Linked DNA regions of Diceros bicornis minor. The protein of the gene in region 2 interacts with the protein of the main gene of each other region in a biochemical or structural test. Links are inferred from orthologs where the notes say so. Each region holds a gene or a part of one and is shown on either strand. Other genes may lie near its edges.

The links.
Region 1: the proteins of NCOA6 (region 2) and THRA form a complex in vitro, tested with the Homo sapiens proteins (2 studies listed by BioGRID). The link is inferred for Diceros bicornis minor from reciprocal best matches to the Homo sapiens genes NCOA6 and THRA.

The regions. Positions count from the first base shown.
Region 1 is NC_080757.1:39,638,970-39,646,600, reverse strand, and holds the start of THRA (thyroid hormone receptor alpha), read right to left. Parts: upstream 3,088-7,631; 5' UTR 2,936-3,087; intron 1-2,935.
Region 2 is NC_080758.1:24,788,294-24,796,211, reverse strand, and holds the start of NCOA6 (nuclear receptor coactivator 6), read right to left. Parts: upstream 3,172-7,918; 5' UTR 3,007-3,171; intron 1-3,006. UniProt on the Homo sapiens protein: Nuclear receptor coactivator that directly binds nuclear receptors and stimulates the transcriptional activities in a hormone-dependent fashion. Coactivates expression in an agonist- and AF2-dependent manner.

The sequences.
Region 1 (7,631 bases), on a different chromosome or scaffold from region 2:
GGTCTCAGCTGCCAGGGGTGTGGAGAAAGGCCATTGTGAGTCCTGCCATGGACCCAGCTCAGCTGGATCCTGCCAACTCCCACCACTGCCCGTGGTGGCAATTATTTTCCAGCGGGTCAGCATGGTGGGGAGCCTCTCACTGGCTTGTTTAGGAGCTAGCTAGCTGCAGCCTGCACACCCAGGGCTTCCACAGAGCTGGTGTCCCCTGGCTGAGCCTGCCAGCCTGAGAGGTCAGCATAGGTGTAACTGACCCCCTTCCCTTCCCCCCATTCCCAGCCCCCAAAACTTGCTGGCTGCAGCTGCAGCACTGAGGAAGCGCAGGATGTCCTGAGCAGCCAGCTGAGCCCCCCGCCCCCCACCCCAGCCTCCCAGTGACCCCAGAGGCAGGGCAGGCGGGGCGAGGGGTGGGGCTTGAGCATTAACAACTGGAAAAGTATGAAGACCATCACTGCCAGTTCCCAGCTCTGAGAAAGGAGACTATGGCAGAAACAGAGACAAGAACAGGGTAGCGACAGGGTGAGAGCGAGTTACAGACTGGCAGAGAAACAAGGAGAGGGAGAATCAGACACAGCAAGACAGAGCAGCAGAGAGACAGCGTTAGAGAGATATTCCAAGTCAAAAATACACATCACTCACCCAGACACTCACCAGCATACGGCCTCCTAAAGAAGGCTTCCAAGTTTAGACAGGAGGGCAGAGGTGGGAAGAGGGGCCAGACTCTTGGTGGGAGGCAGGAACTCAGCTGGGGGCGAGTGAGCAGCCCCAGGAAAGGCTCAGACAAATGACCCCAGCAGAGGCAGCTAGACCCCTCGTTTGCTTGTAGGGTGGGGAGAGGGACCGCTCCCTAGGAGCCAGCTCTCCCCGACACCCCCCTCCCCCAGCAGCCAGGATAATCCCAGCTGCTGGAAGTCAGTGGAAACTGCTCAGGCCCATGACTCGGCCCTCTGGAACCCCCCTGCCCCCCCTACTCTCTTTGCTCTACTTTCTACTCCCTCCAAAAAAAAAAAAGCTGAGCCTAAAGGAAGAAGACAGGAGGAAGCTTGGGGGAAAGAGTCTATGACTATGTGTGCATCTAGGGGTGTGTCTGACTGCACAGCTACAGTGTGTGCATCTGGGGTTGTCTGGACACAACTGTTGGCGTGGACCTGTGACTGTGTGGACTTGAGCCTTGTGAATGCCTTCTGCACCTGAGTCCGTGGGTGCAGGGACTGTGTGCAGATGAGTGCACCTGTGTCCGGAGTTCCCACAGTCAATCAATTAACAAGTATTTACAGAGCACTTCCTGTGCTAGGCTCTGGATGGGATCCAGAGCTCTTCCAGTGATTCTCCCAGGTCTCAAGGAGCTCACCATCTAGCAGGGTGGGATGACAAGTGACGGAGACCGAGAATGTTATCGTGAATGCATACCTTGCACCATTATGCAGTAAAGTCTTTTCATTCAGACAGATTAATTTTCTTAGGCGCCTCACCGAGTCCAGGAAAATACTTGTTGCTAAGTTGTGTATACATGTGTTGATGTGTAACTGCGTTTGCATTTGACTGAGTGACAATCACTGTCACAGCAGGCGATGATGCCTGTGTGACTGGGCTCATGCGAGCACGTGTGTGCCTGTGAGTGACAGGGTCTTTTGTAATATGCGGCTGTGTGCAATTGCTCTGTGTTCATGCATGCGTGCGATAGTGACTTTTTCTGTGTGGGTGACAGTGACTCCTTCTTGTCTCTGTGTGTGACAGCATCTCTGTGTGACCCTGTTCGTGGGTATGTGCATGGGTCAGTCTCCCTGCTCTTGGTCTCCCATGGGTGTGTCCCACCCCTCCAAGCACCCGCGTGCAGCCGCAGCCTGCCTCTCCCCTTGTCCCCATGTGGGTGTGTCCAGCGGCTCCTGTCCTTGAGTCTGCCTGGGTGTCCCTGGGTGTGCATGTGGCTGTCTGTATGGGCATATCTCTGTGTCCGCATGTCACATTTGCTTCCCCCCTCATCTTGGACAACAGCCCCCTTCTTCCCTGCCTCCTCCTACGGCCAGAGCCAGCATTGAGGGGTGGGCTCCCAGCCCACTGGCTTTCCTTCTGCGACTCCCACCCCTGGAAATGGTGGCTCTCTCCATTGCCCCTATCATCCCCCCCACCCCCATGCCTTTTTTTCACACCGGACAAGGCAGGGCCCCAGCCAGAGAAGGGGCACCAGAGACACGTTGCAAGGGGGGGGAAACAAAGGGGGGGGCACACAAAACACAGGGCCGTTCCTCCCTCCCTTTTCCCAACCACCCTAGCTTGCAACCCTAATCATCTAGGGACCCTCAAATACATTCCCTCACCCCCAGCAGCGTTTTTTGCAATTAGGAGTGTTGCAACCAGAGAGCCATGCTCAACTGGGGAGGCGGATGAAGTGGCGGGGGGGGGGGGGTTGGCGGGGGGACGGGGACGTTCCTCTCCCGGGGCCCGTGCAAGTCCACCCCCCACCCCACTCATATTGCCCTCCCCAGCTGGAGGCAGCTTTGCAAAGGCCACTCGGCCTCGGCCTGGAAGGCTAGGGGTGGGGGCTGGGGGGACAGGCCTCCCGCGCACCGTAAACAAACCGCGGCGCGGCGGGCGGGGGAGCTCCGGCGGCCAGCAGCGGGGCCCGGCCCGGGAAGGCTCAGCGGACGGGCCGGACAGAGGCCGGGCGGGCCCTCGAGGGGGAGGCCTGGACGCCATCTCCGCCGGCGAACCTTGGGGCCCACCGACCTCCTAGCAACACCTCCCTTCCCCAGGGCGTAAGTTGCAAGCTCCCGGGCTGTGACAGGGTCACCGGGGCGCCGGGGAAAGCTGAGGCTGGCAGCGGGTAACCCCCGGGCGCCCCCAGCCCGCCTGGGAGCTGGCCCTAGAGCCCCGCGGCTTTGCATAATCAATCGCGATGCATTTGCATATTAATACCCCCTCGCTCCCTCCCCCGTACCTCGGCGTGGCGCGCTGGACCAGGCTGGGCAGCGACGCGGGGTCTCAGCGCCCCGTGCTGGGGGCGTCCATGGAGGGCTGGTGGGGCCCGGGCCGCCCGCCTCCTGCGCCCGGGTGTGAGTGCGAGTGAGCGCGGGGGGGGGCGGGGGGCGAGTGTGGCGGCCCCGCGGCTCCTCCGGCAGAGGCGGCGGTCGCTCTTGGCTCCTCCCTCCCCCGCCCCGCTCGGGCTGGGGCTCGAGCTCCGCGCGCCCGGCCGGCTCTCGGCTGCTCCCTGCAGGCCGCCTCGCCGCCGCCGGCCCCCGCCCCCCGCCCCCTGCCGCGCCCCGGGACCCCGGCCAGCGCCCGGCCGCCCCTCGGCCGCCTCTGCCCCCGCCCTCCTCGCACACGCCCTCCCCACTCCAGGCGTCTCCGGCAGGAGTGGTACTTGGTGACATATTTTAGAAAAGATGTCATTTAAAAAATAGCATTCGCTTGCTGGAAGAATTGGAGGTTTTGGGGTTTGCACCATGCGGATGGAGAAGGGAGTATCGATGAGCCTCCTGCACCTTCTAAGTCCGGGAGAAAGTCTAAATACCAAACCCTAGGAGGTTTAGAGTTTGTTTCTGAGTTCGGGTCTTTCCTCTGCCAGTAACTCACTGTGACCTTGAGTAGATCACCACTGCTCTTGGGGGCAGAGCTTCCTCAACCTTAAAATGTGAGGGCTGGGCAGGTGACCCCTGAGGTCCTTTAACTTCAATCAGCCTATGCTTTTAATCCTTTTGAAGGTTTCCTCCCTATTACCTCTCTTCCCCCCTCAGTTCTAACGTCATTACCTGATCCACCGCCTCCCCTTTCAAATGTCACCCTCCTCCAATATAGGCTCTTTCTATTCACTGTCACCAGCCATTTCCTCAACAATCTGGTCCCCTTGCTGAGCTGGGGAGGGGGCAAGGATTGCCCTATCCCCTCAGTCTCAGCTTTACAAAGGTGGTATTTCCTCCGTGTTTGCCCCCATCAAAATCCAAATGGTACCAGGGCCAATCTAAGGAGGATGGCAGGCTGCATAAAAATGGATCCCCTTCCCCAAAGGACAGGTCTCCACCATGCCAGCCCCACCCCCCGTGCGCACACACACCTGCATTCATGGACATAAAGCTATCCCAGGGACGCCACAGCCCCTTTCATCTCAGGATCTCCCAGCGCCAGGCAGAGCTCTAATTACCCTAGCACCCCCCTGGCCCCACCGGTTCCCCTGCTGTCATTAGCCCAGTTTTACCAGCAGGGGCCACAGCCTTCCCATGGCTCCCAGGGCGGGGCCCTGTCTCCACAATTCACTCTTGGGGAGGGTTATGTGTGTGTTAATGGGAACTACTCTACCAGTCGCCCAGATTATCCTGGGCAGAATCCGTTCGTTAGTGTGGCGTTCTGACCAACAGCCTGTCTGAGTTGGGCTGCCCTTGCTCGTCTTAGTCTCAGCCACCTGCATCCTCAGCTCTGTTGGAGCCACTTCTCTTACAGGGGGTACTGGGGTTTGCAATGCGTGGGGGAGAAGGGAGTGCTTCTCTTGGGATCCCCAGAATCATGGGGATGAGAAAGGCAGCTGGGATGAAAACCACGGGATGCAGAGTAGAGTGGTGGTGATAAGAGGTATGCAGTGGGTGAAGGGAGCCTACATTGTGCAGTGGCAGCCGTAGCGGGGAATTGAGGCTGCAGTGTGCAGAGTCAGCATGTAGTAAGTGAACCTGTGGGTTCAGCCTGGGCTTGCAGTGGACATGCAACAGCTGCAGTGTGGGGCAGGAGGCTGCATCGTGTAGAGTCAGGGCAGTGTGCACTGTGAGGTGCACTGAGGGTGGCTGTCTGCCAGTCGATGCCACCTCCTCGGTGACCAGGTTTGGCTGAAACCCTGGGGAGCAAGGCTGCCGTGTGCAATGCTCAGGGTGCGTGCTCTACCCTGTGTGGAAATAGTCTCTTGAGATTGGGCTGCCCAAGTAGTTGGGACAGAATCCCAGTGCGTAGGATACATTTATGAGATGAGCTACATTTATGCTCTGCATCAATCAGGCAGAACCAGGGGGCAATGGAGAGGTCTAGCAGAGGATTAGGGCAGGGTGACAGAGTCCAGAGGGTGCAGATGAAAGTGTAATGGTTTGTCTCCTCTCCATTCTGGCTTCCCTCACCACATCTCTCTTTGACAAAAGGCCCTAATGATATTGGGTAAGGGAGACTTTTTGAAATCCTAGACCCAGAGCCATAGAAAATGAAGTGCCTCCTGATCCACCTTTTTTTACCCCAGGGGCAGAATAGGGCGCCTTGAACTCAAAGACGAGAGTTTACCATTCCCATCTTTTCCTTATCTCTCTCCCTTTCCTTGGCTCCCAGTATGGGCTGCTAACAGACCTGGGCAAGGGCAAAGTGAAGGGCACACTGCCTCCAAAACAGGCATCTGGCCAGATGCCAGGATCCAGCCCAGGTCTGGGCTTATAGCCCCTGCCAGTGTTGCATCATCCCTATTTCCACCCCACTCGCCCTGCCTACCCCCATTTCTTGAAGCTTCTAGCTCTTCTCAGAGCCATTTCATTCTCAGCTCGTGTTTTCTCCTTGCTGTGAAACCCCACCAGAGCTGTCTCCTCCCATTCTCCACCCCCTCCCCCACCAACCTCTGCTTCAGGGCTGAGTCCATCAGGAGAGCAGGAGGGTGGGGCACAAGTGAGGATGGATAGAGACCCTCCAAGGGGATATGCCTGTTGGCCCTCTCCCTCTTAGATTTTGGTTGCCAAGGAGGCAGCAGGAACAGCCTGTTCTCTGGGCTCCCATAGGAGCAGCTATGCCCAAGCCCCTCCTTCTCTTTCTTCTTCCTTCCCTCCCTCCCAGATTGTTGCTAGGAAGCACCCCAAGATTTCTCAATGTTCCCACCCCTAGAAACCAGGGGATCCAGATATCTTCCTGAAAAGCTTCCCCTATAAGCCTGGAAGCCAAGACCCCACACAGCATCCTCTACCCCTGCCAATAAGCCCCAAGCAGTTTGGGGGAACAGGGGACAGTCCCTCTACCAGCCTGCCCTGGAACTAGCTCTGTGGCCTGGGCCTCAATAATTCCCCTCCCCCATCTCCTCTTGACCACCTGGGCTCTGGGTGATGTCAGCAAGTGATAAGGTGTCCAGCAGACACCCCTTGACTCTGCAGACACAGCCCCCCTTATTGGGGAGTTCTGGAAAGACAGCAGAGGAGGGCCAGCCCCGTGGCTTAGCGGTTAAGTGCACACGCTCTGCTGCTGGCAGCCCGGGTTCGGATCCTGGGCGCACACCGACGCACTGCTTCTCCGGCCATGCTGAGGCTGTGTCCCACATACAGCAACTAGAAAGATGTGCAACTATGACATACAACTATCTACTGGGGCTTTGGGGGGGAAAAAAAAGACAACAGAGGAAACTGAGGAACCACCAGCTAAGAGAACCTCAAACCCAGGTGTTTCACCCTTTAGTGATCTTTCAATCAAGAAAAAATGGTGGAAATGGAGGAAAGGGGGGCCATTTTATGGGAATTGGGGATCAAGTGGCTAGCAAAGATGAAAGACTGGGAAGTTAGCCAACAATTGCCCTGCTAAGAGTAAAGTGGCCACTTAATGCCCCCCTGTCAATCACTTTTGTCCCATCAGGTGCCCTGGTTATGAATCACAAATGAGGTAGCCAGGGAAGGGACTCAGGCCTGGCTGAGCCTTGTTTTTGATAGCTGAGGCAAGAAGTGGAAAAAGAAGCCGACACCTTCTCCAGGTTGTCTTTCAGGGTTTCTCCTACTTTTATTCATTCATTTTTTTGAGCATTTATTATGTGCCAGGTTCTGGTTTCACTTTGCCTTTGCCAGGAGGAGAGATGAAAGGAGAGACGGGGGGCAGTCTCCTTTACCATAGAGTTTGGGCCTTACCACACTGCAGCCCTCTCGGTCCAGTTAAAGGGGATGATGGGACAGGCTGGTGTGGAGGCCAAGAGGATAGAGTAGCTCTCAGTGCCTGGAGGGAGAGGTGGTGCAAAAGAAATGGCAGCCTGGGCAGGCCTGTGGCACAAGCGGTTAAGTGCGCGTGGTCCGCTGCGGCGGCCTGGGGTTCGCTGGTTCGGATCCCTGGTGCGCACCAACGCACCGCTTGTCAAGCCATGCCGTAGCAGCGTCCCATATAAAGTAGAGGAAGATGGGCATGGATGTTAGCCCAGGGCCAGTCTTCCTCAGGAAAAAGAGGAGGATTGGCAGATGTTAGCTCAGAGCTAATCTTCCTCAGAAAAAAAAAAAAAAGAAATGGCAGACTGGCCTCCCTTCCCTGCCACTGTCCAGTCCTCAGGATCGCAGCCCCTCTTTTCTTCTTTTTTAAAGATTTTATTTATTTATTTTCCCCCCCAAAGCCCCAGTAGATAGTTGTGTGTCATAGCTGCACATCCTTCTAGTTGCTGTATGTGGGACGTGGCCTCAGCATGGCCGGAGAAGCGGTGCGTCAGTGCGCGCCTGGGATCCGAACCCAGGCTGCCAGCAGCGGAACGCGCGCACTTAACCGCTAAGCCACGGGGCCAGCCCCCTCACTTCTTCTTTGCGCTGGGAATGTGGAGAGGGAAGGCATCCTTCAGGGTGTTAGAGAAGAAATACTCCAAGGACTGGTTCAAATTCTTTTTTTCACCATCCTGGCTGGTCTCTTTCTGGAGCTCTTCTGTGGGGGCAGTGGGAAGATAGAGACAG
Region 2 (7,918 bases):
GCTGATCTCCTCACAAAAAAAAAAAAAAAAAAAAATGGGCAGAGGATATGAACATTTTTCCAAAGAAGATATACAGATGGCCAACAGACACATGAAAAGATGTTCAACATCACTAATCATCAGGGAAATGCAAATCAAAACTACACTAAGACATCACCTTACACCTGTTAGAATGGCTAAAATCACCAAGACAAAAAATAACAAATGTTGCGGAGAAAAGGGAACCCTCATTCACTGCTGGTGGGAATGTAAACTGGTGCAGCCTCCATGGAAACCAGTATGGAGATTCCTCAAAAAGTTAAAAATAGAAATACCTTATGATCCAGCTATCCCACTACTGGGTATTTATCCAAAGAACTTGAAATCAACAATCCAAAGACGCTTACGCACCCCTATGTTCATTGCAGCATTATTCACTATAGCCAAGACGTAGAAGCAACCCAAGTACCTATCAACAAATGAATGGATAAAGAAGATGTGGTACATATATACAATGGACTACTACTCAGCCATAAAAAAAAAGACAAAATCATCCCATTTGCAACAACATGGATGGACCTGGAGGGTATAATGCTAAGCAAAATACCCCAGACAGAGAAAGACAAACACCGTATGATTTCACTCATATGTGGAAGATAAACTAACACACAGACAGAGAGAACAGTTTGGTGGTTACTGGGGGAAGCAGGTTGGGGGTGGGCACAAGGGGTGAAGGGGTGCATTTATATGGTGATTGACAAACAATAATGTACAACTGAAATTTCGAAATGCTATAAACTATTATGACATCAATAAAAAAATTGTAATTATCAGACTCATCACTAGATCTGATTTCTTAATGTGCTGATAAAGAAGTATCTCTATATTACTATATCAAAATTTGTATATTTTGGTAACTGTATTTCAACATAATTGGTTTTCTTTGTAATCCAGTGTATTTTGTTTTATGCAATTAAAAATATTCTGAGAGAGGGCCTGCACAGTGGTGCAGCAGTTGAGTTCACGCTCTCCACTTGGGTGGCCTGGGGTTCGCCAGTATGGATCCTGGGCGCAGACCTACTCAATGCTCATCAAGCCATGCTGAAGTGGCATCCCACACAGAAGAGCTACAACTCTACAACTATGATATACAACTATGTACTGGGGCTTTGGGGAGGAAAAAAAAAAAATTCTGAGAGAGGCCCATAAGCTTCACTAGATGCTAAAGGGGCCCATGGCACAGACAAGGTTAGGCCTTCTTGCATTAGAAAGATCCAGAACAAATGAATCCTGTTGCTGTATAAATGTATGGCATATACGTATTGAATATACTGTATATTGAAAATCTTATTGCTATGAACGTCCTCATAATCTTTTTGCTGAAAGTCCTTTTTGATTATATGGGAGCCCAGGAACTACTATATCATGACTGATTTGCATAGTTTCCCTCAGAACTCTCTCATAGCCCATATGAACTTTGAACTCTTCTCTATCATGATCAAACCTCAATTAAAGTTTGATCATGATAGAGATCCTAGGTCTCTACCATTGTTCACGGTTATCTTTTTAGGCTTTCTGTGTCCCTTTGCTGTGTAGTAAACACCTAGAAGAGAAGGAGCCTCTCTTAAAACTCTAGAAAGTTAGAAGTCACAAGTGTCCTGCAGATAATTTCTTGGCACAAATGGAGGTGGGCTAGAAATTATCAAATAGCTAGTTACCTATACTTTTTTGTATCCCCCTCAGTCTTTGTACTGACAATCTTATTACAAAAACAAAATTAATTAATAGTTCTTTGATCTATACTGCCATGATTGACTTCACACTTTTTTCCCAACTAACAAATTCCTCTAAGGTAGTATATGGAATGAGGAGGCAGCAGACCCCCTCTGCCACTAATCGGTAAGATCCTGAGAAGTCAACTTTTTCTTTCTAGGTCTCAGCTCAAGTCACTACATGATCTGAAACTGTTACAGGATCCCTAAGACCCTTGTAGTTTTTATATATTCACTCCTCTTCATCATTCTTACTAGCTTCAATAACGCCTTTCTGATGACCTCCCCAGGTGACCCTGCTCTTAAAACAGTGGGCTGTCCCCTTCCTGGGAAGACACCTTGGGTCACCGCCCACAAACAGCCCAGTCCCTCCTTTTAAAGACACACAAACTCCCTAAGTTGATGGAGGTTCTCTCTCTTCTTGCCAACCAGTTCCACTCTCTGCACCCCTTTTGCTACCAGCTCCTTCATCCAAACCTCAGCCCTCCTTCTCCCCCTTCCTCATCAAAGCCTTCCTTTTTCCTGTTGCTCTCCCCAGCAGGGAGTGGAGGATCCTCGGGGCACCTATGTCCTCAGTCCCTTGGGAGTTACACGGACTTGCAATCCAGCCCCGCGACTCCGACGACTGCCCCAATCTGCTATCCTCGTCTGTACCCAAAGGGCCCAATTTCTAACCAACACTCTTCCCACCACCACCAAAGAAGTGTCCCCAGCCCTGACAGCTTGAGTTTGGACCCCACGCCCCTCCGGGTCCTACCTGCTCTGGGGTCCTAACACTGCCCATAGCCTAACACAGCTCCCGGTCCTGGTCCCCCAGCCCCACGGACCCCGATCCCGTTTCCGTGTGGACCCAGTGTCCCTTCTCCGCGACCCCGGCCACGACCCCACGTCCGGCTCCCGCCAGTACCTCGGGCCTGGAGCGCCACCCCGTGCAGACCCCGGCCGGCCTTGCACTCCCTCAGCGCCCCGGACCCCGCGTCCCGCACCCTCCCCAATCCCAGCCGGGCCCCCGCTCCCTCCAGCGCCCCCGCCCGCAGGCCCCGGGCCCGCTCCCCAACATGGCGACGGGGACAGGAGCGCGGCGGGCGGGGCGGCTCCGGGCCGGGCCCGCACTGGGGCCGTGCTCCACGGTCGGCCGGCGCCATTTTCCCGCGCCGGGCCCGGGCGGCACCTCCTTCCAGCGGCGCCAGCCGGGCTGGGACCGTGGACGCCCGGTGGGCCCACCCCTTACGGGCCCGCGTCGCCGTCACCTCACCTGAGCGCGGCCCCAGCCCTCCCGGGCGGGCCTCGGAGCACCGGCCGGGGCCGTGCGTGCCCGCGGCCCTCCGTGTGTCCGTCCGTCCGTCCTCGCGTGCGCCCGTCTCTCCGGCCGTCGGCGCCCGGCCGCCCGCAGCCCGACCCGGCAGGGCCTCGGGGAGCCGGCGGGGAGGGGGATGGGCCGGACCGGGCCGGGGAGGGAGGGGGAGGGAGGGCGAGAGGGAGGGAGCGCGGGAGGGGCGGGGCGGACCCAGAGGCGGGGCCCTGGGTCACGTGACCAAACGTCCCCGGGAGCGCGCGCCCGCTCACTTGGGTGCAGAGTGCTTAGGGCCGGGATCCAGTGGATCTCTGTATGCCGCCTGGCACTGTAATATCGGCGGTGGCTCCTATCCTCACTTGGGAAGCTCTGCACAGCCCTATAGGAGCCCTCTGGCTGAGTGTCCTTGGGCAAGGCAACTCTCCAACCCTCAGTTTACCCATCTGAAATATGGGGATAATAATAGCGCTTGCGAAGAGGAAATAAGGGCATGGACAGCCTTTGGCACAGTGCCTGACACATAGTGTCTAATAACGTTAATGGTGATAAAGATAGTTAACCTTTATTATTATTATAAGCTCCTCTCTACTTTTCCCATTACCGTCAGGCTTGCAAGTTCAGTGGGTGCTCAATAAAATAATTCTTGCGTGAACAAGGGAGTGCGGCCCCTCCCCTCTCCCCAAATGTAGGGAACCCTCACCAGCGCTGGGCTTGATACCTGTCATATAGGCCTGGATTCAGATCTGGCTTTCACTCTTGATAGCTGTGATTTTCTTTTGCATCTGAACCTCAACTTTCTCATCCCTAAAATGAGAGTTAAGGATCTGTTATGAGCATCACAGAAGATAGAATATGAGCAGGTGGATTGTAAACTGCACAGCTCAGGCATACTGGTCTCATCTACAAAAAGGAGTCTGGAGTCCTGTCCTTCCACAAATATTTATTTGTGTGCTTGGACTGGTGCAGTAGCTATCCATGGCCTTTTCACATCCTCCTTGGTTCCCTGCAATCTATTCTTCATCCTGCTGTCAGAGTATTATTTCAAAGTCAGAAATCTGATCATGTCCCTCATTTCTTTAAGACTATTTGATGGCTCCACATTGCTCTTGAGATAAAGGCCAAATAAATATCTTACTGTTGCCTTCCCACATCTTCAGACTTCTCTCAGGGCCCTCTTCCACTCTCTCTAGACTGTAACTGCCATCATCTTCTTCACATATTGTACTGCCTCCCTTCTCAGGACCCTTGCACATGCTGATCCCTCTGCCTGAAATGCTCTCCTCCGTCAGAGATAACTCAACAGCCTTCAGATCCCTGCTCAAACATGGATACCCCAAGGACACCTTCCCTGACCACTCCCCAGGCAGATTCTCATACTTGTCCTCATTAGGAGGCACTAGGCTGTTTATTCCTTGTCTTCACCACTAGATTGTGGACTCCGTAAGGAAGGAGACTTTAACCATCTTGTTTGCTGCTGTTTCCTCAGCACATAGCACAGTGCCTGTCACAGAGAAGGCCCCAATAAGTATTTGTTGTTTTGTGTGAATCCTGGGCACTGTGCTAGGTGCTGGGCCCAAGAGGGCCGAGAAAAATTAAGAGAACCACAGGCGGCCACAAGGGGGCACCTCAGGCCTTGGAGCCTGTGAAATTAACACCAAAAGGATTTATCAGAGCCCAGAAAAAAGTTTTTTTTTTTTTTATTGATGTTTTAATGGTTTCTAACATTGTGAAATTTTTGGGTTGTACATTTTTGTTTGTCCATCACCATATATATGACTCCCTTCACCCCTTGTGCCCACCCCCACTGCCCCTGGTAACCACAGTCCAGTTTTCTCTGTCCATGTGTTGGTTTATATTCCACATATGAGTGAGATCATACAGTGTTTGTCTTTCTCTTTCTGGCTTATTTCACTTAACATAATACGCTCCAGGCCCATCCCATGTTGTTGCAAATGGGACGATTTTGTCTTTTTTTATGGCTGAGTAGTATTCCATTGTAATATATACCACATTTTCCTAATCCAGTCGTCAGTCGAGGGACACTTAGGTTGCTTCCACTTCTTGGCTATGGTGAATAATGCTGCAATGAACATAGGGGTGCATAAGCCTCTTTGGATTGTTGATTTCAGGTTCGTTGGATAGATTCCCAGTAGTGGGATGGCTGGATCATAGGGCATCTCTATTTTTAATTCTTTGAGGAATCTCCCATCAGAAAAAAGTTTTTTTAAAGCTTTTTCTTTTAACTTTTAGAAAGCAAGGTATAATTAGCATACAGCACAATGCAAACGTCTTAAGTAATAAATTTTTACCTATGTTCTTGTGTTACCACCAGCCAGATCAAGTTACAGAACTATCAAACCAGAAAGTTCCTTTTATTTCCTCCAGTATGTGCCCTCCCAGTCAATACTTGCTCCCCCAGAGATAACTACTATTTTGACTTCTAGTGCTGTAGATCAACTTTGACAGTTCTTGAGCTTCACATAAATATATAAGCACATATTCTTTTGTGTTAGCCTGGAAATCTGATCTATCCAAAGAGTGACTCTTTGGATAATGATACAATTAATGAATTATTTGATTAATTAATTAATCTGAAAGACTGAATGAGAAACTCTGGTTATTTCATCCTCCAGAGACAAGGGTCCTGCCAGAAGGCAGCCCAGGGGCTGAGAAGACATCATCCACACAACTCCAAGTCTCACAAAAATTTCTAGAGGTAAGAAAGCTCTGAAAGGCACTGGCCTGGTGGCGCAGTGGTTAAGTTCGCACGCTCCGCTTCGGCAGCCCAGAATTCGCGGGTTTGGATCCTAGGCTCGGACCTATGCACTGCTTATCAAGCCGTGCTGTGGCAGGTGTCCCACATATAAAGTGGAGCAAGATGGGCACAGATGTAAGCTCAGGGCTAATCTTCCTCACAAAAAAAAAAAAAAAGAAAGGAAGCTCTGAAAGATTCTAGAAACTCAACAACAAAAATCCATTTTAAAAATGGGCAAAAGACTTGAGTAGACATTTCTCCAAAGAAGACATACAAATGGTCAATAAGCACATGAAAAAACATTCAACATCACTAGTCATTAGGGCAATGCAAATCAAAACCACAATGAGAGCTATTATTAAAAAAAAAAACAACCAAAACACAGAAAATCACAAGTGTTGGTGTGAGGATATGGAGAAATTCAAACCTTTATGCATTGCTGGTGGGAATGTAAATGGCGCACCAGCTGTGGAAAACAATTTGGTGGTTCCTCAGAAAGTCAAACATAGAGTTACCATCTGATCCAGCAGTTCTACTTCTGGATATCTACCCCAAAAAAAGTAGAAGCAGGGACTCAAAGAGATATTTTTACACCCATGTTCCTAGCAGCATTATTCACCATAGCCAAAAGGTGGAAGCAACCCAAGTGTCTATAGACAGATGCATGGATAAACAAAATGTGGCGTATATATACAATTGAATATTATTCAACCTTAAAAAGAAAGGACGTTCTGACACAGGCCACAACATAGATGAACCTTGAAGACATTATGCTAAGTAAAATAAGCCAGTCACAAAAGGACAAATATTATATGTTTCCTCTAATATGAGGTTCCTAGAGTAGTCAAATTCATAGGGACAGAAGGTAGAATAGTGATTGCCAAGGGCTAGAAGAAGGGAAGAATGGAAGGTTCCTGTTTAATGGGTACAGAGTTTCAGTTGGGGAAGGTGAAAAATGTCTGGAGATGGATGGTAGTGATGGCTGTACAACAATATGAATATACTTACCGCCACAGAGCTGTACACATAAAAATGGTTAAAATGGCAAAATTTATGTTATATATATTTTCCCACTGTCAACCTACAAAAACAGAAACCAATTTAAGAAACAAAGCATTTATTTGAGATCAAAGAATGGCAATTTGGGGAGCACAGATTCAGGTAGAAACCCAAATAGTCTCCCATTAACAGGAGAGGGGCTTAGGGTTTTTATGGGAAAAAGGGAGGATGAAGTGGACTATCTTTTTTTAATTTTTTATTTTTATTTTTTTTTTTCCCCCAAAGCCCCAGTAGATAGTTGTATGTCATAGCTGCACATCCTTCCAGTTGCTGTATGTGGGACGCGGCCTCAGCATGGCCTGAGAGGCCGCGCGTTGGTGCACACCAGGGATCCGAACCCCGGGGTGCCAGCAGCGGAGCACGTGCACTTAACCGCCAAGCCACGGGGCCGGCCCCTGAAGTGGACTATCTTAAAGAAGAGTTCATTGGTGCTGGATGAGGTGAGACTAGGTTTGTACTTTGCCTGAGGGTCAATCATCAGGCAAAAGGCTACATTTGTACGTCATTGATTGGTTAGCTATCCAGTCATCAACAAAGTCCAGGTCCATCAGTTCTTACAGACAGGATATTCTTGTCCTTACTGACTCCTTGGAATGTTGGTGGTTTGGTACAGTTTGGAAGATAAAGAAAATCTGAAATGGCTGCTCTGGCTCTATTTTACTGTGGCTCCACTCCTCAAAAAAACATGCCAGAACCTGAGCCACCATCCTCATTTTCTCACCTTGTTATCCATTCCTTACCCCAAAGGTCATAGGGTTTCCTTGGATTAGCAAGGATGCAGGAAGCTAGGAGACAGGGGCACCTACACATCCGGTAGGTGAAAATAGCAGGAGCACAGGCAACATAAATGTTTGTTGCCCACAGTAAGGCAGCAAAGGAACAGAAACAGGCCATGAACTGGCACTAAGACGAGCACAGCGACTACAAAATTGGGCTCTGATGCCAAAATACCCAAGTTCATATTCTAGCTCTGTCACTTATTAGCTTTGTGACCTTGGGCAAATCCAACCTCCTTGTTATACAGATGAGGAAAGTGGGACCAAAAGAAGAAAAAGGACT